Linked DNA regions of Rattus norvegicus. The main gene of each other region encodes a partner of the protein of the gene in region 2 in a complex. Links are inferred from orthologs where the notes say so. Each region holds a gene or a part of one and is shown on either strand. Other genes may lie near its edges.

What was found.
Region 1: the proteins of F2 (region 2) and Serpine2 are in contact, whole or in part, in a crystal structure (PDB 4DY7), measured with the Homo sapiens proteins. The link is inferred for Rattus norvegicus from reciprocal best matches to the Homo sapiens genes F2 and SERPINE2. Residues at the interface, in NP_000497.1 of Homo sapiens: His406, Tyr410, Pro412, Trp413, Trp455, Arg456, Glu457, Asn458, Leu459, Glu509, Thr510, Ile542, Asp562, Ala563, Cys564, Glu565, Trp590, Gly591, Glu592, Gly593, Cys594; in NP_006207.1 of Homo sapiens: Val225, Arg288, Ser355, Ala356, Thr358, Thr359, Ala360, Leu362, Ile363, Ala364, Arg365, Ser366, Ser367.
Region 3: the proteins of F2 (region 2) and Serpina5 are in contact, whole or in part, in a crystal structure (PDB 3B9F), measured with the Homo sapiens proteins. The link is inferred for Rattus norvegicus from reciprocal best matches to the Homo sapiens genes F2 and SERPINA5. Residues at the interface, in NP_000497.1 of Homo sapiens: Arg383, Pro386, Glu388, Leu389, Leu390, Cys391, His406, Cys407, Tyr410, Pro412, Trp413, Asp414, Lys415, Trp455, Glu457, Asn458, Leu459, Asn506, Arg541, Ile542, Asp562, Ala563, Cys564, Glu565, Gly566, Asp567, Val588, Ser589, Trp590, Gly591; in NP_000615.3 of Homo sapiens: Gln241, Lys295, Lys296, Arg297, Thr368, Ile369, Phe370, Thr371, Phe372, Arg373, Ser374, Ala375, Arg376, Leu377, Asn378.
Region 4: the proteins of F2 (region 2) and F2r are in contact, whole or in part, in a crystal structure (PDB 3LU9), measured with the Homo sapiens proteins. The link is inferred for Rattus norvegicus from reciprocal best matches to the Homo sapiens genes F2 and F2R. Residues at the interface, in NP_000497.1 of Homo sapiens: Phe382, Arg383, Pro386, Gln387, Glu388, Leu389, Leu390, Cys391, His406, Cys407, Tyr410, Trp413, Lys415, Leu423, Arg425, Arg431, Thr432, Arg433, Tyr434, Ile441, Met443, Glu457, Asn458, Leu459, Asn506, Thr510, Lys517, Gly518, Gln519, Arg541; in NP_001983.2 of Homo sapiens: Ala33, Thr34, Asn35, Thr37, Leu38, Asp39, Pro40, Arg41, Ser42, Phe43, Leu44, Leu45, Arg46, Asn47, Pro48, Asp50, Lys51, Tyr52, Glu53, Pro54, Phe55, Trp56.
Region 5: the proteins of F2 (region 2) and Thbd are in contact, whole or in part, in a crystal structure (PDB 1DX5), measured with the Homo sapiens proteins. The link is inferred for Rattus norvegicus from reciprocal best matches to the Homo sapiens genes F2 and THBD. Residues at the interface, in NP_000497.1 of Homo sapiens: Phe382, Ser385, Pro386, Gln387, Leu423, Arg425, Thr432, Arg433, Tyr434, Arg436, Asn437, Glu439, Lys440, Ile441, Met443, Lys470; in NP_000352.1 of Homo sapiens: Ser424, Cys425, Glu426, Cys427, Tyr431, Ile432, Leu433, Asp434, Asp435, Thr440, Asp441, Ile442, Asp443, Glu446, Asn447, Gly449, Phe450, Asp479.
Region 6: the proteins of F2 (region 2) and Serpind1 are in contact, whole or in part, in a crystal structure (PDB 1JMO), measured with the Homo sapiens proteins. The link is inferred for Rattus norvegicus from reciprocal best matches to the Homo sapiens genes F2 and SERPIND1. Residues at the interface, in NP_000497.1 of Homo sapiens: Lys384, Ser385, Pro386, Gln387, Leu389, Leu390, Cys391, His406, Cys407, Tyr410, Pro412, Trp413, Asp414, Lys415, Leu423, Arg425, Ser430, Thr432, Arg433, Tyr434, Lys440, Ile441, Ser442, Met443, Asn458, Leu459, Lys470, Trp511, Ala513, Asn514; in NP_000176.2 of Homo sapiens: Glu75, Asp76, Asp77, Asp78, Tyr79, Leu80, Leu82, Ile85, Phe86, Asp89, Asp91, Val305, Glu306, Met307, Thr308, His309, Gln327, Asp343, His361, Lys362, Arg388, Thr457, Val458, Gly459, Phe460, Met461, Pro462, Leu463, Ser464, Thr465.

Annotation. Positions count from the first base shown.
Region 1 is NC_086027.1:88,634,156-88,638,797, forward strand, and holds the start of Serpine2 (glia-derived nexin precursor), read right to left. Parts: upstream 3,048-4,642; 5' UTR 2,946-3,047; intron 1-2,945. UniProt on the Homo sapiens protein: Serine protease inhibitor with activity toward thrombin, trypsin, and urokinase. Promotes neurite extension by inhibiting thrombin. Binds heparin.
Region 2 is NC_086021.1:98,062,059-98,066,843, forward strand, and holds the start of F2 (prothrombin precursor), read right to left. Parts: upstream 3,189-4,785; 5' UTR 3,174-3,188; coding exon 3,095-3,173; intron 2,735-3,094; coding exon 2,571-2,734; intron 1,906-2,570; coding exon 1,881-1,905; intron 1,679-1,880; coding exon 1,628-1,678; intron 1-1,627. UniProt on the Homo sapiens protein: Thrombin, which cleaves bonds after Arg and Lys, converts fibrinogen to fibrin and activates factors V, VII, VIII, XIII, and, in complex with thrombomodulin, protein C. Functions in blood homeostasis, inflammation and wound healing.
Region 3 is NC_086024.1:128,786,404-128,791,068, reverse strand, and holds the start of Serpina5 (plasma serine protease inhibitor), read right to left. Parts: upstream 2,989-4,665; 5' UTR 2,981-2,988; coding exon 2,886-2,980; exon of another isoform or gene 2,868-2,885; intron 2,561-2,867; exon of another isoform or gene 2,521-2,560; coding exon 1,892-2,520; intron 998-1,891; coding exon 727-997; intron 177-726; coding exon 29-176; intron 1-28. UniProt on the Homo sapiens protein: Heparin-dependent serine protease inhibitor acting in body fluids and secretions. Inactivates serine proteases by binding irreversibly to their serine activation site. Involved in the regulation of intravascular and extravascular proteolytic activities.
Region 4 is NC_086020.1:28,606,658-28,610,748, reverse strand, and holds part of F2r (proteinase-activated receptor 1 precursor), read left to right. Parts: intron 1-3,413; coding exon 3,414-4,091. UniProt on the Homo sapiens protein: High affinity receptor that binds the activated thrombin, leading to calcium release from intracellular stores.
Region 5 is NC_086021.1:156,317,164-156,321,802, forward strand, and holds the start of Thbd (thrombomodulin precursor), read right to left. Parts: upstream 3,016-4,639; 5' UTR 2,863-3,015; coding exon 1,129-2,862; 3' UTR 1-1,128. UniProt on the Homo sapiens protein: Endothelial cell receptor that plays a critical role in regulating several physiological processes including hemostasis, coagulation, fibrinolysis, inflammation, and angiogenesis.
Region 6 is NC_086029.1:97,176,956-97,180,970, reverse strand, and holds the start of Serpind1 (heparin cofactor 2 precursor), read left to right. Parts: upstream 1-1,215; 5' UTR 1,216-1,258; intron 1,259-4,015. UniProt on the Homo sapiens protein: Thrombin inhibitor activated by the glycosaminoglycans, heparin or dermatan sulfate. In the presence of the latter, HC-II becomes the predominant thrombin inhibitor in place of antithrombin III (AT-III).

The DNA.
Region 1 (4,642 bases), on a different chromosome or scaffold from region 2:
AAAAACAAAACCAAGCAGATGGACAGTGTCTGAGGAATGTTGCTTGGGGTTGTTCTCTAGCCTCCACGTGCATGCAAACACATATATGCATACCTGCATACAAGAAGCCGACACAGAAAGACCTCAAGGCTGGTAACCAATTGAAATGTAGGAGAATGCTCTTAGCTCAGATGGTAACCTGGGACTGACTCACTTGGTACTGGTGATAGGTGAACCTGGGGAACCTGGTTCAGCCAAAGACTCCACAGATAGTCTAACCAGGGAGAGGAGGAGCACTGGGAAGGAAAACCAGAAGGGAAGAGAGCTATAGAAAGGCACGGAAGAAAATGCCTGGAGTCAAATGGAGGCCAGCTGAGCACCCAGGAGACGGCTCATGCAGGAAATTGTAGGTTCTTCTGTTCTGGGGAAACTGGCAGGGGCTGAGGACAAGGGAGACCGGGGAAGTAGGAAATAGTTTAAGAAGCATGGAGCAATCTAGTGATCCCTGGGGATAAGGTAGAAATGCCAGGTCAAGGGAGGTTAGAGCAATGCAAAATTACATCTGAAATCGGGGTCCAGGTGAGAGAATGAACAGAAGGCAAGAGAGAGGAGTAAGATTCCTGAGCAGAGGGACAGCTGGGATTCATGATACAGCTGGGGACATTAGTCACCGGCACCGGGAGCCTTCGCTTTCATCTACAAATTCCCAGTTCAACTTGATTATTTTCCCGGCCTTTTACACACCAGAGTATTTACCATAGATGTGATTTCTGTCCGTTTTTCCCACCGTAAGAATGATGATCTCAGGAAGACAGGAGTTGCTATATTTAGCAAAGGTGAAAAGTGCCCCCCCCCACCAAATAATTTAAGGCACACACAGGTCTGGGGAGACGGAGCAGATGAATGGGTAAATATGGAAATGCTTACGGGGTGGCCCAGAGGTGACCCATGGAATAAGCCTGGTGGCCTTTATTTTCTCAGGAACATAGGTCATTAGGTCACCTGTAGAACCTGAAGCACGGAAGGCACCAGAAAAACCCTACAATGGAAGAGCCTGGGGGAGGGGGAGGAGCCTGGAGTTGGTGTTGGTGTTGGGGTGTGTGTGTGTGTGTGTGTGTGTGTGTGTGTGTCTGTCTGTCTGTCTGTCTGTCTATATAGCCTTGGCTGATCTGGGGCTCACTATGTAGATAGGGTCACAGCCGTCCTTCTGCTCTAGCCTCCCAGACGCTGGGATTTTGAGAGTATGTATCACTACACCCAGCAGGTGCTTCTAACATTAGAAACCTAGCACCCCCAGGTGAGGGCAGGTCTTGAACCGTGCTGAGAGGACTGAGTAATCTGAGTGTGTGTAAACCGCTGGACCTGACACGGCCACAGAATCAAGAGCCTGTGGCATCACAACCACAAGAGGGGAAAATGGCCAAAGTTCTGAACCATGTGGGAGAAGAGCTGGCTAGAAGAGAAGGCAGTGCCATGGAGGGGGACCGGGAGCCTTCCAACTTTTCCATCTCAACCCATCTCTGACCACTGTCAAGTCACCTCCGTGTGCAGCTGAAAATCAGCATCCTTTGCAGACGCGGCAATTTCTGTCTTATTGTGCTAATTTGTCAAGTTCATGGGAGAAAATTTCTGCATAGATTCTTTCAAAGGAGGAGGAGGAGGAGGAGGAGGAGGAGGAGGAGGAGGAGGAGGAGGAGGAGGAGGAGGAGGAGGAGGAGGAGGAGGAGGAGGAGGAGAAGAAGAAGAAGAAGAAGAAGAAGAAGAAGAAGAAGAAGAAGAAGAAGAAGAAGAAGAAGAAGAAGAAGAAGAAGAAGAAGGAGGATGGCATGGGCTCATGACCTTCAGGAGTCACCCTTAGCTGAACAAAATTTCCAAACACTACTCTGAAAAACAGCTAAAACTCCATGGTTAATGGAGCCATCATCGGTGGCATAGCTCTTGAGAATATTTTTGCTTAAATGTTGCCGACAGGGTATAATTATTGTTTTAGAGCCTCAGAAAGTGTTGAAAGCGCCTTCAGTTTTTAAGTGTGCGTCTGATGCACAAATCGGTGATGCTGACATTTCTCCCAGTTATCTGTATTCCCATTCAGGTACGAGATCTCCAAAGTACAACATTATCAGATCAATTGTTCTAGAACAGTTCAGAAAAGTAAACTGCCTCCTGGCTTGAAAGAGAAAGTTAAACCTTCAAACACCTTTTTATGTTCGTGCTAAATATAAGAACGTTCTCTGCAAAGTAGTCAAAGCAAGATCCAGCCGCGTTTGGAGATTTCTCAAGAGAGACACGCGGAGATTCTGTTTTGTTCATTCAAACACTAAAAATCCTCAACAGTACCTTCCCTAATACCTGAAGGTGGAGTGCTGTCTTATGTAAGAGCAGCTTCCCCTCTCGGCTCATTGTGGGGGCAAATTAAATACCTAATTCCGCCTAGGATTTCTGAGTACTTTCACCTTTCCTGGAGTCACTCGGCGGCCTCTCAATTCCCTGGTCTACAGATGATGAAAATAAATAAGAAATAGCAATGAACTGGGGCTGCATCCTAGGGATAAGCCTGTTGCAAAGGCCAGTGTGAACTGAAGCCTTTTCCCAAACCGCTGCCCACCTCCGCACTGCTCAGGGAAAGGTTACAAGTAAGAGCCGGTCGCCCGGGACAGGGAGCCGCGCACAAGCAAAGTATGGGGTCGGTGCTACCCGTGAGTGCCCAGACGCCTCCGGTTCAGGGTCACGTTTTGCAGCCCTGCTGAACCCACTGTAGCTACACCGAGCTCGGCGAGCGATCCGCCAGCCTGGGGCACACCTGGACGCCCGAGCCCTCGGGGACAGGGACGCGGGAGCTAGGAGCGCTCGCAGCGGGGGCCGTGGCGGCTCGAGAAAGTTCCCGCCCCAGCACCGGTCGCGGCGCTGCCCGGGGGACAGTTCCTGGCTCCTTTCCGAGCGGCCGGGATCCGGCAGCCAGTACTCACCCGTCCTCGCTTGGATCCCCAGGTGGCGGCCGGAGCCGGGAAGGAGGTCGGCGCGGCGGTGGGGGACAGGCGGTGGTGACGCTTGCAGCCCGCGCTCCGGTGCAACCACTGCACTAGCCGGCCAGGCAGCGCGGGGGCTTTATCACCGCCGCCGCCCCCGCCCCTTCCTGCCTCCCCCGCCCCCCGGCCCGCCCCGCCCCGCCTTCCCGCCGCCGCCTTTGTGTGGCAGCCGGCCGCAAGGTCTCTGCACCGCAGGGGACTTAAGGACGCCCCCCGGCCGGACCCGCGGTCGCCGGATGCTGCCCTCTCGCTGGGGCGGTGGAGGTCGGGTCCCCAGAAAGCGCCGGCCAGACGCGCCGGGCTCGAGGTGCGGCGCCAACCCGGGGTAGAGCTGCACGTGGGTCGTCCGGATGAGCGTATGGGGAGTGGAGAGGAGTGGGCGACACCGAAGCCAGTGGTGTGCCCCTGAGACGCAGGACGCGTCGTCTGGGGATAGGGAGGGGGTCGACAGTGTGCAGTCCTGCAGGTGATGGGAATAACGGAGCCAGGACCTGGAGGGCTAGAACAGGTCCTCCCTTCCAGGTGCCCCAGAGCCAACTTATTCCTGCTTAGTGGATGAGCGGTGGGAGTCCTAGGCACATGACAGGCAAGGACATGCAGGAAACTGACCCCTTGCTTGTGGTGACATCATGAAGTATTCTCAGAGCTCCGGAGATCCAGGTGTTTTGAACCTATACCTTTAGCCCATGAGACCTTATCAGTAGGAAACTGCTGCAGACCTGAGGCCAGCAACAGATGGCTGTTCTGTCCCATGGTCTGTCGCCTGGGTGTCCCTTTCTGCACTCTTCTGTCCTCTGCTCAGGTTAGGTTTGTATGGACTTTCATGGTAGTTTCTGTTGCCTTTGTTGCAACGCCCTCCCCATCAGGCCCCATGTTTGTTCCCAGCGAAGAAAAAAAAAATCTCCCTAGGGCTGTGAAATAAATTGCACCCACTGCTAGAGCAACTCAGACCACTGTGCAGCCACACTGACACGGCTATATCCATGCCAGACACTCCTCCACCCTGTGTGTGTGTGTGTGTGTGTGTGTGTGTGTGTGTGTGTGTGTGTGTGTGTGTGTTTCACAGTTTCTTTTGTAGGGACAAATGCTATGGAAGGTTTGTCCCCTAAACAAGGAAATGCAATCTACAAAAAAGACACCCTCGTGCGCCTCCCTTTGCTGTACAGTCATGACAGTTTACAAATTCCATATACTTTTCTTCTTCCCTCTGTCCCAAATGCTCCTGAGAGACTGCCCTCTCAGGTCACAGTCAGACCTTACTTCCTTTGGGAAGCCTTCTTTGACTACGGAGTTGAAGTCACTTCGAGTTGAAGTCACTTCCTCCCCCCCCTTTTTTCATAAACCTCATTATGATTTGATTTGTTTTCTTCCCTATTTGCTTCTTGCTGTTTTTCTTCTCTCCCTCTTCACAGTATGTCGAGAGAGAGAGAGAGAGAGAGAGAGAGAGAGAGAGAGAGAGAGAGAGAGAGGCAGAGAGAGACAGAGATGGAGACTACAGCTCAGGGCATCCCTGTGTCCAAAGTGTAGTTTAACACTCAGCAAGTGCTCAGGATGTGTGTAGATAGAATAAACAGATCAAGGAAACCTTCCGATGTGGTAATGACAGGGTTGTAGCTGGGTTTGTCTGGGAGGTTGGG
Region 2 (4,785 bases):
AGTTTCCACACTTGGAATTCTCCCAGGTTTGTTCACTAGCTCAGCCCACAAGGCCAGGTAAACAGCACTTCTGAGAAGCCATCTCGGATTGACAAGCCAGCTGCTCTTCCTGCTCTCTCCTGCCTTTCCAGGAATCCCTACGGTATTTCTGTTATCCTGAGCTTGTGAGTTCTTTAAAACCCAGCATTTTTCTATGCTCTTAATACCCCCAGCACCTGTTTGGCGGCTCCTCCTATAACTCTGGCTCTCAGCGAGCAGAAGTACAAGAGGGTTCAAGGCCAGTTCATATGCATTTAGACGCTATCTACATAAAGATATCCCCGTGCTGGAGAGAAGGCTCAGTGGTTAAGAGCGCTGGCTGCTCTTCCAGAGGACCAGAGTTTGATTCCCAGCACCCACAGGGTAGCACACAAGGCCTCTAAGTTCAGTCCCATGGGATCTAATGCCCTTTTCTGGCCTCTGCAGATCTAGACACATAAGTGGTATACAGATGTACATCAGGCAAACACCCACTCATATTACAATAAAACGACAAGTATTGGTGTGGTGGTTTATGCCCTTAGTCCCAGCATTCAGGAGGCAGAGGCAGAGGCAGAGGCAGAGGCAGAGGCAGGTAGAGCTCTGTGAGTTTCAGGCCAGCCTGGTCTACACAGCAAGTTATAAGACAACCAAGGCTAAATAGAAAAATCTAGTCTTTAAAAAAAAAATCACCATCTTAAGGAAATAAAAAATTTAGAAAGAAGTGGAACCATGAGCTGAGCACAGTGGTGCAGGTGTGTGGCTCCACATTCAGATGCAGATGGGAGGGTGGGGGGTTAGGAGTTCAAAGCCAGCCTAGGCTACCAGAGACCCTGACTCAAGGATGGAAGGAAGGAAGGAAGAAAAGGAGGAAGGAAAGGAGGAAGGAAACTATAGCCCTTAAGGAGTTCCCTGTCCATAGTAAAGCCTATCATTAGAATAAAGGTATATTCAGAATGCTTCAGAGGGAGGCTGTCCCTAAGACTCAGAGAAGTCCCTGGGGAGGACAGGGTTTTCAGTGGAGATTGTTGACTGCTCTGGAGAAAGTAACAAAGTAAGCAAGGATTGAGACATCTTGACATGTTTACTGGTCCACTTCTGGGGGGAGGGGGCGTCTAGAATAGGAAGTCAAGGCCTGAGAGGCAAAGTTTTCCTAGCTAAGAGCTTGTGAGTAATGGGGAGTTGTCAGATGTCCAGGAGAATGAACCTGGCCATCGGAGGCACATGCCTGGACTCCCAGCCCTGGGCAGGTAGAAATGGGAGGGTCATCCTCAGCACCTAGCAAGTTTAAAGCCACCCTGGGCTGTTGGAGTCCCTGTCTCGAAAACAAAACAAAAACGTTTTTAGAGAGTGAATTAACAAGACCGAGCTCTGACACATGGTGAACAGAAGTGCAGTAGGGCCCTGAGATTAATCATCCATTCATTCCTCCAACAGTCTGGCTAAGTGCCAGACACAAGGCCACATGCAAAGGCATCCTTGACCAAGGATGAAGAGGCACTGTCAGGCACTGAAGATACCACTTGAGCCAAGGCTCCTGACCAGTCAGCAATTCTTTTCTCCCAGGCTTCCCCAGCACCCACCCACCCACGCAGAGTCTGTTCCCCACCTTCTAGACAGTCCATGAAGGTCTCTCGAGGTTTCCTCACTGAATCACACACTGAAAACAAAAAGCAGAAATTCACTTGGTATCGCTGTGGGGACAGGGTGGGAACAGGTGATGGAGGCAGGGATGTGGGAGGGCAGAGTGGGTGCGGGGCGTGCTTTATGCAGCACCAAGTTCTGAAGGAGAGGGCATTCTCTGGCTGGAGTACCCCCTTCCCCAGCCTCCCCTCCTTGGGCAAACCTTGCTGGCCACTCACCTGTGTACTTGGCCCAGAACACATCCTGCAAAGCAAGGGTTGGGGGTGAGGCCATGGCAGGATGGAGTTCTACTCTACACTACGTCCGTTCCTTACCACCTGAGCCCAGCTTTAGTCTCCTACGTTGGCTTCCAAAAGGAGAGAGTATGTTTTTTTGTTTGTTTTTTTCCCGCTCCGGAGCTGAGGACAAACCCAGGGCCTTTCGCTGAGCTAAATCCCCAACCCGTGAGAGAGTATGTGAAGAGAGAAAGAGGCCCCAGCACACTTGACTGAACAAGATCTCCTCCAGGCTGGAGGAGACAAAAGAGCTCACTACACCCTCCCCCAACCCCCGAAGGGAATGGAACAGAGCCCCAGAGCCAGTGGGTACACAAGGGAACACAAAGATGGCGGAAAGGCTTAAGCAAGAAAGACACCAGACAACCCAGACAGCCGCAGTATACTGGGGGCTGACGCTGATGAGCTTTCCTCATGTCATGACAACCCAGGCCTACAGTCCCAAAGACAGATTTTGGGTGCCCATCTTGCAGCTCAAGGAGACAGGGGTCCGAATGGAAGTGAAAGTCTGAAACGGGAAACAACCCGGATGCTTCCTACTCCTGTCACTTGTGATTCTGCACTCCTCTGCTGAGGAAGCCCAGGCCTTGCCTACCTGCCCTGCCTCTTAGCAGCCACTGTTGTGGGGCTCACCGTGTCTTGGGGAGACTCCAGGGCCTCAAAAGCCTCCTCATAGCTGCACTGCTCTTCCACGCACTCACGCTCCAGGTTGCCCTTTCGGAGCTCCTCCAGGAAGCCGCTGTTGGCTCTGCGGACCCGCTGGAGCAGCGACAGTGCTTGCTGAGGGGCCAGGAACACTGCAGCAGGGGGCAGGGGCATGGGAATCGCCTCTGGAAGCCTGGCTATCTTAACCATTAGGGGTAGGAAGCTGGCAGCTCTGCTAGCTTCCAAGAGGGGACAGAGGGGATGAGGAAAGTACCCAGAAGGCCACTGAACAGTCTGTGAGTCGTCTGCCTTTCATTGGTTGCCCTAGCCCACTCCCCAGAAGCGATGCCTTTCTCCCTGCACCACACACGACGACATCTCTAAGCTGGACACTCTGATCTGAGGTCCACCTGGGGCTGTCCCTGTGTTCTCTGATCTTAGGCAGGGAAACCCCAGCCCTCAGGCCTTTCCCACATCCTCTATTCTGCCCGAGGCCTCCAAGTGCCCCTTACCATGCTGACTGTGTACCAGGCTAGCCAGGGCAGCCAGAGCCAGGCAGCCAGGTAGGCCCAGGCCGCGGACGTGCGACATAGTGTGTCAGCTCCTGGGATCTGAGGGATTGTCCTGACTCTCTCTGGGTTAATATTGAACCAATGTGAAGAAATCAGTGGCAAGGGAGAGGTCAGCAGATCAGGGCCTTGGGGACAAATGTCCACCCCTGACATTCAAGAGGACAGTTTCTCCTGGAACCAGGGGTGGATGTTCTTGGGGAGAAAAGTCATATAGAGAAGACCATCATCCAACACCTTACATTTATTATGTGAGTAAATGTAAATCAGTGAGTCCTTCTGGGGGCTCCTCCTCATCCCAACAACAGGGATGGTGCAAAACTCTTCACAACCACGCACTGCAGTTTTCTTATCTGTGCAGCGGGCATAACGCTTTGTGTTGAGAACTAATCGAGCATACCAATGCAGAGCACACGAAACACGGGGCCTACTGATCAACAGATGTGTGCACAGATATAAGGAATAGAGAGAGGCGTGGCCAGGCAAAAGCTCTCTCATTATGAGACAAGGTAGCTCTCAGCCAGGAGGTGGCTCCTCTTTCTTCTCCTCTAAGGGTGTTGTGGGTGCTGTGAATAGAGGCTGCCGGGGAGGAGCCAAGTCCAGGAACATGTGGCCTCTAGCTGTCTTCTTCAATCTTTTGCCCCAGAACGGGTACTGGCCCAAGTCTCTGGGTCTCCCTGACACAGCTCCTTCCCTCACAACCTGTCTGCACTGCACCAGTCTCTTAAGGCTCCTGGTTCTACACAGCAGCTCTAGCCTTGCTTCTCACCCTCCCCCATTTCCTGTTTACAAGGTAAATATTAGTCCAGGGTCTAAATAGAACAGAGGGACAAAGAGCAGGTACACCCACACCCGGGAGCAGGGACTCCTGCTTTGCCTTAACTTCATCAGGGCTGACAGAGGTCATGTACAGTCCGGGAAACAGCTGGCAGAGGGCTAGGCACTGGGAAGCCCACAGTATAATTTCTGAGTGGCCCACATACACATATATGAAACATATCACATATATTATAGTTTTCTTTTTTGATTATGTGTATATGTCTATGTGTGGGTAATGCATGTGAGGCTGGTACCCAAGGAAGCCAGAGGTCAGATCCCTAGAGCTGGAGCTCAGGCAGTTATGAGCCACCCAGTGTGGGTGCCAGGAGTCAAATTTGGATCCTTTGCAAAAGCAGTCAGTGCTTTTAACCACTGAGCCATCTCTCCAGCTACATTTTAAAAAATAACTTTTTTGTTTTTTGAAAGAGAGTTTCCCTGTGTAGCCCTGGCTCTCTTGGAACTCACTCTGTAGATCAGGCTGGTCTGGAACTCAGAGATCCACCTGCCCCTGCCTCTTTTTTTTTTTAAAGATCTTATTTATTTATTATATGTATGTAGGTGAGGACACTGTCGCTGCTTTCAGATACAACGAAAGAGGACATCGGATCTCACTACAGATGGTTGTGAGCCAACATGTGCTTGCTGGGAATTGAACTCAGGACTTCTGGAAGAATAGTCAGTTCTCTTAATCTCTGAGCCACCCCTCCAGCCCATGCCCCTGCCTCTTGAGCACTGAGACTAAAGGTGTGTGCCATCACTGCCTGGCTAAAAAAAATAATTAAAAAAAAAAACCCTATGCATCTGGGTGTGCTGCT
Region 3 (4,665 bases), on a different chromosome or scaffold from region 2:
TTAGATGCTCAGGAGCTTATAAACTCACCTCAGACAACTTAATATTGGTGTGGTCAGTAAGGCCAGACAAGTCAGCATGGGTGGTGAAGATGTCCTGGATGCCCAGCTTGGGGAGGATTTTTTCCAGTTTATAGGTACCCTCAATGGAGAACTTGGGGAGGTAAAGATCTAACTGTCTGGAGAGAGAAGGAGGTCCCTTCTTAGATACCATGAGCTTGCTGACAAGTCCTTAGCACCCACTCTCTGTGGCCTCACAGACTTTCTGGAACCTTCATCTCTGAAGCGTCCCTTGCTTCATATTTAGACTTAGGCTGCTGTTTTGCCTTCTTGCTCTAGCTCTGTCCTCTCCTTCCTGCTCCTCCTTCTCTCCCCATTCCCCCCCCTCCAGTGCTCATGGCCATCTCTACTCTCTCTCTCTCTCTCTCTCTCTCTCTGCCTTTCTCTGTCTCTACTACCCTCTTAACTCCTCTCCCCATGCCCTTATTAAACTCTATTCTCTACTATAAAAAATCACTTAGGCTTCTGGTGTCACCTTAGAACCCCAGCTTTCTGCATCTTATCCCTCAAGCTGGGCCAGGTCCTGGGCTGAAGACTTCATGGGAAGCCTTTAGGTTTGGGGCTATCTCACTGCCTGAGGAGTCCTTCCCACCGGTACTATGAGGTCCTGGAGTGTGTCTCCCCTGACATGGGTAGAAGGCCGTGCCCCCAAAATGGCCCAGAGAGTACCTCTTTGTGAACATCTTAAGCCAGTTCCTCAACGTTCTCTCATCCAGGCCATCCTCTACCCGCTTCATCTTGCCCTCGCTGGGAAGAATAAACAGAGCAAATGTATTGCCTTGGTAAGGGATCCCCACCACCGTGCAGGAAATGTTTTGGTCGAGGATGTAGGAATATATATCTTCGCGGTTCATCATTGGCACCTGAATGGTCTTCTTGGGAGTCACATGGTAATCCATCTTGTGGGTGTTGGTGCTACTGAAGGCCGTCTGCCACTTGGCTAAAGATGAACAAGGGGTAGGAGTAAAAGAGAACTGGGTAAAAATGAGACCCTTGGCTGTGACTGAAGAGTGGAGACAATCCAAAGAGTGTCTCTACAGAGCAACCTCAGCAACAGCAGTACCCATAACTCAGAGGCCAAATCCCCTCATAACTCTGGGGTATCCTGAACCTTTAATGTGCCTGTCCTCCTGTCCTCCTAAACTCTTGCTGTGGTGGTTTGAATGAGAATGCCCACCCCCCACAGTCTCATATGTTTGAATGCTTTATCTCTGGTTGGTTGAATTGTTTTAGGAAGGATTAAGAGGTGTGACCTCGTCAGCACATATTGGTATGACTTTGAGAGTGGGCTTGGAGGTTTCAAAAACCCACACCAGCACCCCTTCCCTCTCTGCTGAGTGTTTGTGGATCATACGTAAGCTCTCAGCTACTATTCCAGCACCATGCCTATCTGTGTGCTACCATGCTTCCTACTGTGACGGTCGTAGACTCTGAAATGGTAAACCAGCCCCAATAAAGTGGTCCTTTAAAAAAAAAATCTGTCCTGACCATTGTGTCTTGGCATGGTAACAGACATTTGCTTTCAGTAGTCTTTGACCCCCTCCTGTTTCCTGCCCTCTTAATCCTGATCAGGTCCTTATCCTGTTTCTAGTGGCTTTGACAGTTAGGGTTGTTTTGTCATGATGGCTATGACAAGGACCAGCTCCTGACTGTTGGATCACCGACAGACTAATAAGGATGCTCTGTCTTACATGGGGCTGCCTTCCTTCCACCCAGCTGGCACCTGGGTGAGTTGCTCTTTTATCAGGGAGGGAATGCTATCTTATGATAAAAAATAAAAATAAAAACAGAAAAGAGAAAAGACAGAAAGTTCAAGTTGGAGCCTAAGGCTTACCTTTGAAGAAGATATAATTTACCACCACCATGACGTGGGTGCTGTCAAGATCCTTGATCAAGTCTACAATCTTGCCGTTGGTCTTCTTGGCTACATAGTCATTGATCTGCTTCTTAGCACTTTCAGGGTTCCCAAAGTTGGTAGAGAACATGTCTGACATGTACAATGTCTTCATGGCACTCAGAAAGTGGTCCCGGATATGTACTGCTGGGTCTGTAAAAAGGGCACTGCCTAGGCTCAGCTGGAGGCCATCACTAGGCTGGCTGAACTGCTGCAGCAGCTGTTGGAAGCCCTTGTGGAGCATATCCTCTTGGCCTTGCTGGAGGCTGAGGCCCAGGCCCTCCAGGATCTGTGCCTTAGTCTTCAAGCCTGACCCCAGGGAGAGCATACCCAAGCTCATAGACACGCTCATGGGGGAGAAGAAAACATTCTGACCAGGGGCTTCAGAAGCCAAGGCCCTGTAGAGCCTGAAGGCAAAGTCTCTGCTTCGGGAAGTCCCCACAGCACCCACAGAGGACTCTTTAGACTTCTTCTTCTCCTTAGAATGGGAGCGTTGGCGGGAAGCCACCCCGTGACTGAAGAACAGCACCAGGCACAGAATGGGGAAGAACCTCATTGTGGCTGCCATTCTGAGTGGGAGAAGAGGAAAATGTTCTTAAGAGAGAACAGCTGTGGGTCAAAGTGAGAGAGACAATAAGTAGGCTGACATCTGCAAAGATGTCCCCTTTTATCCTCCAAGAGGATAAGAAGGAAGCTAGGCCATGGGGCTGCAAAGATCAACATGCAATGGAGTTACAAGAGGGGAGAGAGAGAGAGAGAGAGAGAGAGAGAGAGAGAGAGAGAATATCACCATTTTCCCCCCATAACGTCTTAAGTTTAGGATTTTGCATTGTGCCTCATTCATAGGGTTCCTTGGCTGCAGATTGCCTAGGGGCTATGTTCCACCCACCCACATCCTTAAGGCCATCGGTCCTACCTCGGCAGGTGTACTCACTCTGTATTGTGGTGGCTGAGTGTCTTGATGGGTAGCAATCCACCTGGCTTATGAGAAGAGAGAGGACAGAGTGAATTATAGCTGGCAAATGTCATGGATCACAGAGACTCTGTCTCCACCCCATTCCAACTCTGCCCCACTGGGAGCTGGGCTAATCTAAGGCTTTCTCAGGGCCCCTGATAAAAAGACAAAATGAACCTACTTCTGTTTCTTTGTCTAAGAATGTGCCTGTCAATACCAGTCTGAGACTGAGGCTGGAGCCTTGAAAGTATTAAGATTTCTGTTCCTGGGACTTGGCTCTTTCCCCTGAAGAGATGGCATTATCAATCCCAAGGCCTCTGTGTGCTCAGTCTGTAATGTTCTTGAGATAACCTGTTTTCCTTCTGCAACATTGTTGATTAGTTTCCCTCTGACTTTGTCCCATTGTATGATAGTTTCTGCTGACTCTATCTCCTCTTCTCCCCAGTCCTAGTATATAAGATACTATACTTTTAAAAGACACTTGCTTGGTATAAGACATAGGTGTGCAAGCAAGACTTCCTGATCCTAAACTGTATCGTCTCTATCTTTTGTTCTCTTTATCTTCTGATCCCCTGATCCTTTCCCTCAGGGCATTGTTACTTTTAAAGAAAAAATAAAATAAATGACCGAACCATCCAAGTCAAGTAGTACCTGAAGAGGGACACCTGAATATGAGAAAGAGAGTGAAGTATGGCCATAATTCATAGAGAAATTTAAAAATAAAATTGTTCCCAGAAAGACCACCTGGAGGAAGGAGTAGAAACTTCAGGAGTAAAATAAGGGATAGGAAAGTCATCTTCTTAACATAATATTGTTATTATTTGGGAATTTGACATAATGTATCCCATCCTCCTTACTTCCCAGCACCCCAAGCCCACTCCCCACCTCTTGTGCCCCCCCAAAAAGATTTAAGAAACCAGTTTGTGTTGTTTATATACTCACTGGAGCATGGTCAGACTCCTGGTGGCCAGGCCGTTAAAGATGAGCGAACCCCTCCCATCTCTATGCCCACCAGGAGCCATCTACTGTGGAAAGCCTCTATATCCTTATCCTAACAAAAACCTGCTTGGTTTTGCCAGATTCTCCCCACTACAGCATAGGTGTAAGGGTTGGGGATGAGGGCCTTTGTGAGCTGTGTATGGGAGGTGTGTGTGTGTGTGTGTGTGTGTGTGTGTGTGTGTATACACAGTCAAAACTTACAGCCACTGCTGCACAGATTTCAGAACCCAGGTTCAGACAACATGCCCAGGCTCCTAGACACAACAGTCCTTCATTGACCTACCTTTGCCTGAAGAGATGATTGCTATAAAACCTCTTTCCCAGTCAATTTTACATTAAAAAATAAATAAAAAGGAGATTTATCTACATGACATTAAAAAGTCTCATGATATTTAAAAAATAGAAAATGTTATAAAAATAAAGCTATTTTACATGTTATTAAAAAATAAAATATCATAAAGATAAAAGATACAGTATTAAAATATGAAATACCTGAGATGAAAATATTTTAATGAAAATTTATATATACAGAAATAAATTATGTTAATAAATAATGATTTACATAAAGATTGAGGTGGATATATGTAGGTGAACTATATAAAATTAAAAGGGTTATGTTATAAAGTTCTGAGTAAGTTATTTAAATATAAAAGGCTTAAATATATACAATTTAAAGTTTTTAAGGCTTGAGATTAGCATTTTTTTAAAAAAATGTTTGTCAAATTAAGATTTATTTAAAATTATCTTGCTACTAAAATAT
Region 4 (4,091 bases), on a different chromosome or scaffold from region 2:
ACTTTTTTTCCTCCTTCCTGAAATTCTTTCCCAGTGACTGTGGAACTTATGACCAACCAGCTATGTATTGTGACCTCCTCCTTTGTACTAATTTGATTGGGTTTAGGGAATGCAGTAAACTTTGGAGACTGAGAATAGCCAGAGTGCCAGAGAAAACATGCTTAGACCTTTTGCTGTTATTGGGGAGAGAGGGTGAATTTGAGTTAGAACTCAGAAAAGCAGGCAGGTTCAGTGATGCGGGTGATGCTGCCTGCTGGCTGGCGCTCTAAACACCTGCGTCTCTCCGTAGCGGAAGTTCAGTGAATGTTGGTGCCCTGTAGTGGAGCTCTCCCCGGTAAGTGGTAGAAGCTCTCAGTGACTGCATCCCTGCACAGCAGGAACTCCGTCAATGGCTGCACCAGGTTGGGCTTCTAGGAAGGGTAAGAACCTCATCACACAGAGATATAATTATTCTGCCCATCTCCTTGGCCATGCCTTGCAGCTTTCCTGGGAAGTGGTACCCTGGCCTTCCTGGTCACTGATAGGGCCAGATGGATTAACTCTTCATGGGGAGACAATAGTAGGTGATCTCATTTTAGAAGCAGATCACAGTGTCATCTCCACTCAAGGCCTGAGGCAGAACTCAAATTCCATACCACCCGAATGCCCTTTCCCTTAGTGGACTTTAAGAAAGCCCTGACACCTGCACCTTTTTATTGGGTGTTATAAGTCTTGGGTTGGGGGCAGGGGAGGGGGGCAATTGGTGTGTTTCCCTCTCTAGTGTTAGCCAGGAAAAAGGAGATGGGGTCCAAAATAGATTATAAGAGAGGGGTCCATTATAAGTGGCTTCCTAGGTGACTAATTCCTATTATTCCCCATTCAAGATTGAAGATCATTTAGGAGATGGGCTGGGGTTAGGACTTACAAGGTCGTAGGATCTCCATTCGTAATGACCTTCAGACCTTGGAAGAGGATAAGGGACCTGACCTATTAGACCGAGGCAGGATCTGAGTATAGATCAGCTGTAAAGAGAAGAAATCAAGACAGCACCGAGTGCACAAGACCCAGAGACTACCAGATCACTACCAACATTGTATAATGGGTAAAACCCACTGCCACTGTGTGAACTCAGAGGTCACCCCCAAAGCTCTTCACCAGAGGCAGTGGGCGATGCTTTGCTATGGAGGCTCAGTCACAACTTCTCGTCAGCTTCCAGGCATCTGGGAAAGAGGGAAGGGGACGAGAGTCCAGAGCAGGGGCAGGCGCCCCAAACACTTCAGGCATTTGCGGCCTGCAGCAAAGACAAAGGATGTGGTGTCTTGTCCCTGAAACTGCCTTTCGGTTTCCTACCCACTGCCCACCTTAGCTCTGAGAACAGAGCAGCAAAGTGTGTTCCCTACGGTCTGTGTAACATCTCCCCAAGTGCTGTGAGCCCTGAGGGACCAAGGCTCTTTCCCCTCACACCACACTGTCTGTCCTCGGGCAGATTCTCCAGTGGACACCAGTCATGTGTCTTCTCATTTCATTCAATTCAGACACCATCTACATTTGAGAGCTCAGCCCACAAGACTGTCTGTCTCCAGAAAAAGATACCTAAGCCTCGACCTCCAGACTCAGACAGGCTATGTACTAAGGGTTCCCCTGACTTCTACTCAGATTCTAGTCTGCTAGAGCAGCTAGCTCAAGGAACCCAGAGAAGCACCTATGCTTCCCATCCATCAGAAATGGTATTACGGAAGATGCTAATGAATGAATGGCCAGGTGGGAAAGCTGCCCTGCCCTCCTGCCAGTCATGCCTCAGGCTTTCATGTGATCAGCCCTGATTCTGAAGCTATCTAGAGGCCTTGAACCACCAGTCAGCTCATTGGCATACAAAAGATGCTCTTATCCTAGAGATTCCAAGAATCTTATCTATGTGCCGGGAACTGCACAGAGGTCAGGAACGTATTCCTGGGTATCATAGACACTGGCTTTGGATCTCTCTCAAATTAAAAATCATCGGGAAGGGAAAAAAAAGTCTGTCATCCTATCCTCTAAGACCTACCCTTCCTACCTGTGCCTTCTACTGTCCTGTGACCCTGAGTACCTTCAGCCATTGGTGGGGAGTAACACGGAAACACAGCAGAGCCTAAAGTTCTATTTTAAGAGGATTGTCTCGGGGATGCTACACAGCTGAACTCATCATTCATTGCATTACAGATTTGAGAGCCTCTCTGAAAGTTTCCACACCAAAAAGAAAAAAAAAAAAAAATCTGGAAACCCACTGCACTTGTCCAGTTTCCAAGGTTTAACTCTGGCAACATCTCTGAGAGAGAGGCATAGCCAGCCTTTGCCACAAGCACCCCCAGTATCAGGGACTTTGCATTCCCCCTGTGGTTCCTATTTGCACACCTCAGCTTCCCAGCATGCAACAAATGTAGGATTTTTAGCGAAGCTGTTTGTTCCCCAAAGCCTGCTGTCTGACTGGTGCCATTAATTTTTCTCTGACTGACATTTCAAGTGGATAGTTTTGATGGAAGGAGGTGTAGATAATGACATCTGGTTGATACTCCAGAGAGCCTGGTTGACCAGGCATGCACCTTGAGGCATATAGCATTCTAGAATAAGGTCATGGCCAAGCACATGTGCTCCTAGACTGACTTGCTAGGCAAAGAGGCAAGATGCTGGCCGAGGGGGATCGGTGCCTCCTGGCCTTGTGAAGATGTAACTTGAGGGCCTCTGCACCTAGATAGCTAAGCCATCATGACATCCTACTTTGTAAGCAAACTGAAGATTTGGGGAGCTCTGGGTCCTACTCTGAATGGCCCCCTATTCTGTGGCCTGTAGAATTAACTCTCTGCTTTCTATTTTGTGGATTTTTTTTCCTTCGGGAGAGGTGGGTTTCTCAGGATGGCTCAAGCTAGCTGGGGAAGGAAAGAGAAGTCGTAGAAGCTGGAGACGACCTGTGCAGACAGATGGTGGGGTACAATGGTGGGGGGGAGAATGCATGGTTTGAGGGCTGGCAAGGTGGCTCAGCAGAAAAAGACACTTGTCAAGAAGCCTGCCAGCCAGAGTTCAATCCCCTGGGTCCACATGACAGAAGGAGAGGACCAGCTCCCCTCCATCCTGTGCTATGCCTGCTCTCTCCTACCACACAAAATAAAATAAATAAAATGTGAAGCAAAGCGTCTTCGATCTTTCATGGTGAGTGAGGTTTGCAAGATCTCTGGAGTGACCTTTCGCTCCCATTCGTTCTCTGGAGCAGCAGAGAACAAAATGTTGTGCAATATTCCAACCTAGGTGCGTAGTCTCTAACAAGTCCGTAGTCCATCTGTGCAAGATCTAAACCTAGCCATCTGCTCCCCGGGAAAATTACAGAAAACAGACATAGCGCACCTCTGCTTGTCCGGGGTTGCCCGTTTATGTCACTCACGCTCTCGATTTTCTTCCTTCAGAATCTGAGAGGATGTATGCTACGCCGTATGCTACGCCAAACCCCCGCTCATTTTTTCTCAGGAATCCCAGTGAAGATACATTTGAACAGTTCCCCCTAGGGGATGAGGAGGAGAAAAATGAAAGCATACCGCTCGAGGGCAGGGCAGTCTACTTAAATAAAAGCCGTTTTCCTCCCATGCCGCCTCCTCCCTTCATCTCCGAGGACGCCTCCGGATATCTGACCAGCCCCTGGCTGACGCTCTTCATACCCTCCGTGTACACGTTTGTGTTCATAGTCAGCCTTCCCCTGAACATCCTGGCCATCGCTGTGTTTGTCTTTCGGATGAAGGTCAAGAAGCCGGCCGTGGTGTACATGCTGCACCTGGCCATGGCCGATGTCCTCTTCGTGTCCGTGCTCCCCTTCAAGATCAGCTACTACTTCTCCGGCACCGATTGGCAGTTCGGGTCCGGAATGTGTCGCTTCGCCACCGCAGCGTTTTATTGTAACATGTACGCCTCCATCATGCTCATGACAGTCATAAGCATTGACCGGTTCCTGGCAGTGGTGTACCCCATCCAGTCCCTGTCCTGGCGCACTCTGGGCCGAGCCAACTTCACCTGCGTGGTCATCTGGGTGATGGCCATCATGGGGGTGGTGCCCCTCCTCCTCAAAGAGCAGACCACCCAGGTTCCGGGGC
Region 5 (4,639 bases), about 58 Mb from region 2:
CCAAGTTGCCATATCTCCCTAAGCAGCACATTGCTTTTATTTTGGGACTACAAATGGCAAACACAGTGGAGAGTCAGCCAGGCACGAAGCATACAGCTCAAGCTTTACTGGAAGATGCTTCCATCCATCCGTCTCAGATATGTCCAGGCTAAGGACCACATACATTCTTGGATAGCTATGAATGTGGCCCAATATGTCTGAAGATGGCAATGTCCTATTGGAATGTCAAAGGGTTGGACAAAGGATCCTCTGCACATTTGAAACACTGTCAAAAATTAATAACACTGTAGAAGCCGGCATAAAAAGTTTAATAATTATTACCTCTTTTGTCATTCTAAATAAAAAAAAAACAACAGCAACAATCATAAAACCCAGGCTCACCCTTTCAAAAACAAAGATTAAAAAAAATCAAAACCCTACTTCCTTGAGTTTAAATTCTGTGATATTCCAGCACTATTAACTAGTTAGTGTTCAGTTGAAACATTTTAACTTTTGTTTAAATTCTTTTGCTCTGGTTACCTGAAATCCCCGATTAAATTGCCAAAGCTAGCGAAAAAAAATATTTTTCTGCGTTTAGTGTTTTTTTTTTTTCTGTTTCACATAAGAGTTTGGAGACAAGGGTAAAGGCAAACTATGATCAGGTTCGGGGAGGAGAATGATGGAGAGGGGGAGGGGAGGGAAAGGAATGGAGGGACACAGAAAAGGGTGAGGGACTGGAGACTTACAAGCAGAATAAAGCTGAAGGGAAGAAAATACTAAATACTTTTAAAAAAATAAATATCTGGGTCATCTCCAGTCCATAGGGTCAAGGTTTGCCTCCAAGCCTACAGATCAGCAGCACCCACACATCCTGCACCCCGAGGTGAGGGACTGGGACACTCTGGGATCTTCACTGTATTTGTCACCTCCGCCCAGTTGTCCAGTCTCTACTTGGAAGAAACTGGGCTCTCCGGCTTCAAGTCCTCCCTACCCTCGCTTGTCATAAGAGGATGAGCTCTTCTCTGGTTATTATACCAGCCAGAATGCTTTTACATTGCCAGAGAGCACAGCTGGGAGGCTGAAGAGAGAGAAAGGAGAGGTACAGAGCCCGGAAAGACAAAGGCCACCTTGGTCTCTGGAGTAAATCCCTCAGAACTTCTGCAGCGTCCGATCAGTCCTCACGTGCTGCAGTACTACCTCCTTGGCTGAAGAGGTACACTTGTACTCCAGCTCTGCGCGAGCAGTGCCCTGCTTCTTGCGCAGGTGACAAAGAAGCGCCAAAAGCGCCACCACCAGGGACAGGCTGGCAATGGAGATCCCAATGAGCACACCAGAGTGCATTGGTCTTGCAGAAGGGGGAACTGTCGAAGAGACTACCGTCGGATTGCTTGATGGGTGCTCCCCAGAGCCACCATCCTCTGAGTCCTCCAGAACAGGGATGGGGTCACAGTCCTTGCTAATCTGACCAGCAAGGGCTGTGTCAGGTCCGCAGATGCACTCATAGGAGCCAGGAAGGTTTCGACATTCATTGGTGAGGCATTCGCCTTGACTGCACTCATCAATGTCTGTGCATATGGAACCCTCGTCCAGGATGAAGCCCTCAGGGCATTGACAAAAGCTTGGGGAGTTGGGGTCACAGTCTGCTGGGCACGAAGTTTCATTGCAGAACATTTCGCACCTGTCGGGATCATCCAGCTTAGGTGCGAAGCCCTCAGCACAGATGCAATTGTAGTGCGTGGAGTTTACTGGCTGGCACTGATACTCGCATTTAGATCTGAAGCACGGATCCAGTTGCTCCACGCACTCTCCGTCCACCAACTCATAGCCATCATAGCAGCGGCATTCGAAGCCGCCCTCGGTGTTAGAACAGAGCTGAGGGCATGGATTGGGCCCCTGCTTACAGTCATCCACGTCCTCACACCGATGTCCGTCTGCCGCCAACTGGTAGCCTGTTTCGCACATACAGGAATAAGAGCCTGGCACATCAGAGTTGTTGACGCAAAAATGCTGGCAGAGTTCGTTGCACAATTGAGCCACAGGTTTTGCGCACGAACGGCCATCAGCCTGCAGGTCCCCGCCGCTGGGGCAGACGCATCTGGGTCCGTTAGCGCTCCTGTTGCACATGTACTCGCAGCCACCATTCTCCACGCTGCAGTTCCAAGCTCCTGTCACTTCCCGAGTCCAGTGTCCCTCTGAAGTTCCGGGCAGGGCCCTGCACACCAGCTCCAAGCCAAAGGGCGCCACGGTAGCAGAACTGCCTATCGGCAGCGTCTGAAAATCCGCGCCGCTGACCCCCAATGGGGTATTGTAGGTGCTAGAGATGTGGGCACCCTCAGGATCTCGGGTATTCACCCGTAAAGGCCTGCAGAAAGCTGCGAAGTAAAACTCGCAGAGAAAACCCTTGGTCTCGTTCTCGCACGGCTTCTCTTCCCAGGCCGGCTCGCCTGGTGCAGCTTCTGTTGCTGTTGAGACCGTGACGCACAGCGGACCGCAAAGTGGAGGCGACTGGTCGTTGGGCCGCGCCCACCTGCTGTAACTGGTGTGGTTATCCCCAGTAACCCACTGGAAGCCGCGCAGGGGCCCGAGATGCACCGGGTCACCACAGCCCTGAGGGAGCTGTAAACCGATCCAGGGCCGTGAGTCCATACTACTGTCGCTCACCAGAAGGGAGATGACATCCGCAGCCACCGAGGAGCGCACTGTCATCAAATGTCCCTGCAGGCGCTGGCAGGCCTGGCTGGCATCGAGGAAGGTCACGGGGTCCTGGAAAAGCGCGAAGCACTCATTCCCCACGCATTGACTGCCTTTGGGCTGCAGCTTGGCTAGTGCAGAGATCCCCAGGCCAGCTGGAGCCAGCACACCCAGAAGGAAAACCCCAAGCATGCTGTTCAGGAGAACACCGTGCAAGCTACGAGAAAACGCTAGCACTGCGATGGTGCAGGCACCCAGTCCCGGCAGAGGGTTTCGTACGTCTGCGGCGACAGCAGTTAGCCTCTGTCTCAGCCTAGACTTTTCTAGCCCAGGTTCGTAGTCCCTGCGAGGCAGCCTCTGACATGCCACTCAGCTGAGGCTCCAGTTTATAAATGCGCGGCCCTCCCTCTCTGGAGGTTCGGGAAAAGGAAGGAAGTGCCTAGTGGGAAGGGCTGATGCTGCGTTCTCGGATTACTGGGTTCTCCGGACGCCTTGTGCCCGCCCTCCAGCCTGGGATCACCTCTGTGCGAAGAGTTAAAAACACTGTCTGGGCGTAGGGAGGCCCTAGGGCGTGGCCTGCAGGCGCCACCACAGAACTGAATTGTGTCAGCAAGTCGACAGTTCCCGTCCCAGACTCTCCGGTATAGCCCACGGGTAGCCTGTCTTTAAACCTCTACACACGTACACAAGCAAACGCACACGTACACACACACACTTCCCTATAGATGCTACCAGAGTTTGGAGGATGGCCTGGTAGTTGGGGCAGGGGGGAAAAAAAGGAAGAGTCTGGTAGAGGGTGTGTCTGAGACTTGCAAGACTCTGAGAAGGATTAGCTAGATCCCTGATGGGAGCTCAGGAAGCCTGGCTGCTGTGACTAGCAGAGGGGTTGGGTCCCAAATGACCTTAGAAGAGGCCGGGAAATTATACTAGGGCAGCAAGAGGATGGAGTGGTCTAATAACCTCAAAGCCTTCTCCATTCTTCTCCATTCTGACATCTGGACAGCAATCCCCTGATCTTGGGCAGGCATCGCCAAGGCCAGACCCTATCTAGTTGCTTGAGAATGTCGTGCAAGTGTTGTATGGGTTCAGAGATCAGGGCCCCCTTTCCCACTTGAATTCCTCCAGAATTCTCTGGGAAAGGTGTGTTGCGTTCCTTTGTTCTGGTTTTGTTCTGTTTCGTTTTCCTCCAAACCTATCTCAAACCCCTTAGTGAAACTGGCCCGGGACCACAGCAAGGAGGTGATATGAGCTACAATGGATTCTACTTGGTTCCTTTGGAGGTGATCACTTCCATTGTCATTTGAGAGTCTCAAAAGATAGAGATGCCTACAGTCCATTTGCTCACAATCGGCACTGAAGAGGAGGGTCCTGTGGGCAGCTGGGAGGGGCGGATGGAAATCTGTCACTTAATGACTTATCCGCTTAAGCACTCACCAAGAATGGGGAGGGCTGTGTCCAAATCAAAGCTTAGCCACCTCGTCCCCACCTCCCTCATCTTCCCTACTCGCGCCCTACACCCCGCGGCTGTCACTTCCACCCAACTGCCAGGAGGCGGTGCTGTTGAACTCTAGACCAATCCAAGGACAGTGGTGCATTACTATAACTGCTACTGAGAAGTGTGGGCTGCCTGGAGCCTAGCCTGAGGTTAGGAAATTCGTCTGTGGGAAGCCCTGCGTAGTTCCCACGACTTACTAATAAATAGCTTCTCTGATCCAGTACAGCTCAGACTTTAGATGAGAACAGAAGGCTGTGATGTCCTCGTGTGGAGAAAACATACACGGATGGACCTGTGGCCAAGAGGGTGGGATGAAAGCACTGAAACAGTAAAAAGAAGCAGGTGAAACATCCTCCATCTGCTTGCCTATGAGGGACTCTGGCTCTGTCAAGCCAGAGCTGAAACCGGTACAGTCCACCATCCCATTGGCTGAACTTGTCTTTATTGGGTCAAAGCTGCCTCAGCTCTCAGTAA
Region 6 (4,015 bases), on a different chromosome or scaffold from region 2:
TCTGCAGGGAAGATGCACCAAAAAGAAACAGCATTTAAGTACCAAGGGATTCTCACAAGGGCTCAGAGTCTGCCACAACTGACACTCAAAGCAGTCCCTAAGTAGACTGGAGTCTCTCTGAGCAACTTGATGCTGCTCCTGGTAGAGACCTATGTGGAGTTAACACACTCTCTCTCTTTCTCTCTTTCTCTCTCCCCCCATCTCTCTCTCTCTCTCCCCCTATCTCTCTCTCTCTCCCCCACCCATCTCTCTCTCTTTCCCCCACCCATCTCTCTCTCTCCCCACCTCTCTCTCTCACTCTCTCTCTCCCCCAACTCTAACTCACACACACACACTCTCTCTCTCTCTCTCACACACACACTCCCCCCCCCCTCTCTCTCTCTCTCTCTCACACACACACACACACACACACAGACACAATTTAGTACAATATAATCCAAAGATATATTAATTTGGTAATTATGTGCTGAAGAATGACAGTAGAAACACATTTTAAAAGTTTTTGAGGGGTTGGGGATTTAGCTCAGTGGTAGAGCACTTGCCTAGCAAGCGCAAGGCCCTGGGTTTGGTCCCCAGCTCTGAAAAAAAAAAAAAAAAGAAAAAAAAATTTTTGAGGACAAGACGTAGTGGTACATATCTTTAATTTCAACACTCAGGAGGCAGAGACAGGTAGATCTCTGTGAGTTCAAAGCCAGGCTAGTCTACACAGTGACAGCCAGGACAGCCAGGGCTACACAGAGAAACCCACCTTGAAAACAAACACACAACTCAAAAGGTACAACCCAAAAGATGTACACCAATTTATGCATTTGCTAAGTCACCAACCTTAACTTGCCCCTTCATTTTTCAATGGGGAATAAGCTTTCCATGAGCTTAAGGAGACTCCACCCACAGTGTGCCAGCGGCCTTCTCACAAGGGGGGCCCAGCAGATATGGCACCCAGAACGATGCACAGTGCCTCAGTTATGCTTAACTTTACAAGATATCCTGAACAAGATGGGGCAGACATGCTGATAAAGATAGTGACATTCCAAATCACAGCCACACAGAAGAACTGGCGTTTGGAAGTAGTTTGTCCCCAAGAAGTGATCAAAGAGAGCTGAAAGGGTTCTGCTGACAAAGCTACTTGAGTAGTGTTTGAATTAGGACATATTTGCTTTGGAAAACACACAACAGCTCAGCACCAAAGTTCACCCTGAAAACTGCTGGTGGCCCCTCTGGTCTCATCTCTGCCACGCCACTGCTCAGAGGCACAGAGGTAAGTTTGGTTACTAACATTTTTTGCCAATTATAAATTTTTGTTAATATTTAAAGCTAGATAATTGGTTCCTTTATTAAAGTACAAATTGAGAAAAAGAATATATCATTAATTTTAAATTTTAATTTAATATTTTTTAAAACTTAGTTTAATATTTAGTTTAATATTAATATTGGCATAACTGACAAAACTGGAACTTGAATTTTAAGAGACAAGAGTATTGTACCTTTGATACTTTAAACTGGAGACTGGCATGGTAGCACAAGGCTGAAATTCCAGCATGGGTAGCGCTGGGTATCCATCACCTCAGGGCACTTAGATGACTGTCTAGTGCTTAAGTATGACAATATTCCTGTTCTCAGGAAGTTTCCCTAAGCATCACTATTAAAGGTCGGAGGAATGTAAGAGTTCTAACCTCAAAGGCTCAGAAACAATGTACATATGTAGACACATATACATGTACACACATATGCACATATCACACCACACACACACACAAAGGAGACACAGCGGCTGCACTGCTATTCTATTCTTTCAATTCTTCTGTAAGATTGTAACATAAAAAGGTTTCCATGTTTCCCCCCCTTCTTGCTTGCTCTGTGTGAATCTGGAGACATCATGGCAGGAGATGGAGTTCTCTATGACACACATACAAAAAGGCCAACTCAATCCATGCAACTCTCAAGAATACACTATATGGTGTTCCCTGAAAATACAGCTTGGATGATTTACTTTAAAAGCACAGCACTTCGGGCTGGAGAGATGGCTCAGTGGTTAAGAGCACTGACTGCTCTTCCTGAGGTCCTGAGTTCAAATCCCAGCAACCACATGGTGGCTCACAACCATCTGTAATGAAATCTGATGCTCTCTTCTGGTGTGTCTGAAGGCAGCTACAGTGTACTCATACAATAAAATAAAATCTTAAAAAAAAAAAAAAAGCACAGCACTTCAATTCAAAGACAGTAACTTGAATGCAAACACAAGTTACAGGTGTCTTTAAATGCCTTAATTGTTTTATGAAACTGATGAGCAAAATAGAAAGATTTACCTGTCAGATCTCTAATTTTCAGTGCATAAAATAACTTTATATTTTTCCCTTCCTCTAAGAAGAGAATAATGAAACTATGGCTTATGGCTTTTGGATATAGAATAATGAACTATGGCTCATGGCTTTTGGATATAGAATAATGAACTATGGCTCATGGCTTTTGCTGATGCTTACCCTCCCAAGCCACCCGAGCCCAACCGGAATGTGTCTGTGTCTGCAGTTCCAGGATAAGACGAAGAATAGCTTTACCACTGGGCTCAGACTAGTCCCCTTGAGCACACATTAACTGAAGTTGGCTTTTCTTCTTCTTTAATATTACTGTTACTAATTGCTGTTTTAGCCAAGGGTACTTTTAATTGTAATCATAAAAACACTTCCATTAAGTTGCTTCTGTCCTCCCTTTCTTTTTAGAGAGATGTATTTTCTTTTTATTTGTGAATATGCACTTGTCTGTTCAAGTGTGCACCACATGTGTGCAGATTGCCAGACGAGTGTCAAAACCCCTTGGAACTGGAGTTACAGATGGCTGAGCCACCTACCTGGAGGGCTGGGACCTGAACTCTTGTTCCTCTGAAAAGTAGGAAGTACTGAGTGCTGAGCCCCCTCTCTAGCCCGTTTACTGTCAGTGACACCCATGCTGATTCTGTCTTGAAATGGCTCTGGTTGTAGCTGCATACATTAGGTACTGTTCCTAGAAACTGTTCCACATGTGCACATTATGCAGCACCGGTCTCAGCACAGTGCTGAGGAGGCTCAGGCATATTCAGAATCAGAAAACCTGTGAGTCTTTTTCCAAAATAAGCACTTCTGAAGCCCCGCAGCCAGCTGTAGATATAGCTAGGAGAGCGCCCTGCTAGCGCTGAGAGCCCTGTCTCACCCCAGCACTGTACAGAATAGTTACGGTGATACAGTTCTACAACTGAGGAGGTATAGGTAAAAGGGTCAGAAACTTAAGGTCAGCCTTGGGATACAAGATTTTCAGCTGGCCTGAGATGCTCAATGTCTTTTTAAAAAGTCCCTCAGAAATAAAACCATGTTAGGGCCAGGAGGTGGAAATACCACGCCTTTAATCCCAGTGCTTGGGAAGTAGAAGAAGGCTGATCTCTACAAGTTCAACCAGCCTGGTCTAAAGAGCCAGTTCCAGGACAGTCAAGGCTGTTGAGAAACCTTGTCTCTAAAAAATCAAATCAAAACAAACAAAAAACAAAGCTGGGAATGCTAATTTTAGCCACATTGTAGGGGATAGGCCCTAAGGACAAAGATTGACAACAGCTGCTCCCCAAGCGTGAGCAGTTCTGAGTGTCCTGGCACTCTACGGCAAGCAAGGCAGGCGTGTGAGACCAGGGACCTGGTTTAACCAACCTGGTTCAAATCTAGTCATTATCTACCATCCCTCAATCCCTACATTTTAGAGCTAGGGACTGAACCCTGGTCCCATGCAATCTGTGTGAGAGTAGTTAATATTTATCTATATTCCTGGCTCAAACCACTGCCATCTCTTAGTAGCTGCAAAGGAAGGCTACATCTCATGATAGGTTAAAATCGTGGCAGAATTTCAAATAGAGCATCTGCAAAGCTAGTCCCTAACTGTCTTCAGGTCAAACAGGTCTGAATACTTTATTAGGAGCCAGCAACCCTTAATGAATATAGACTGGCAACAGATATTCTAAACCAAGAAATGGTCACAGGCACAAAACAGACTTCTCTTT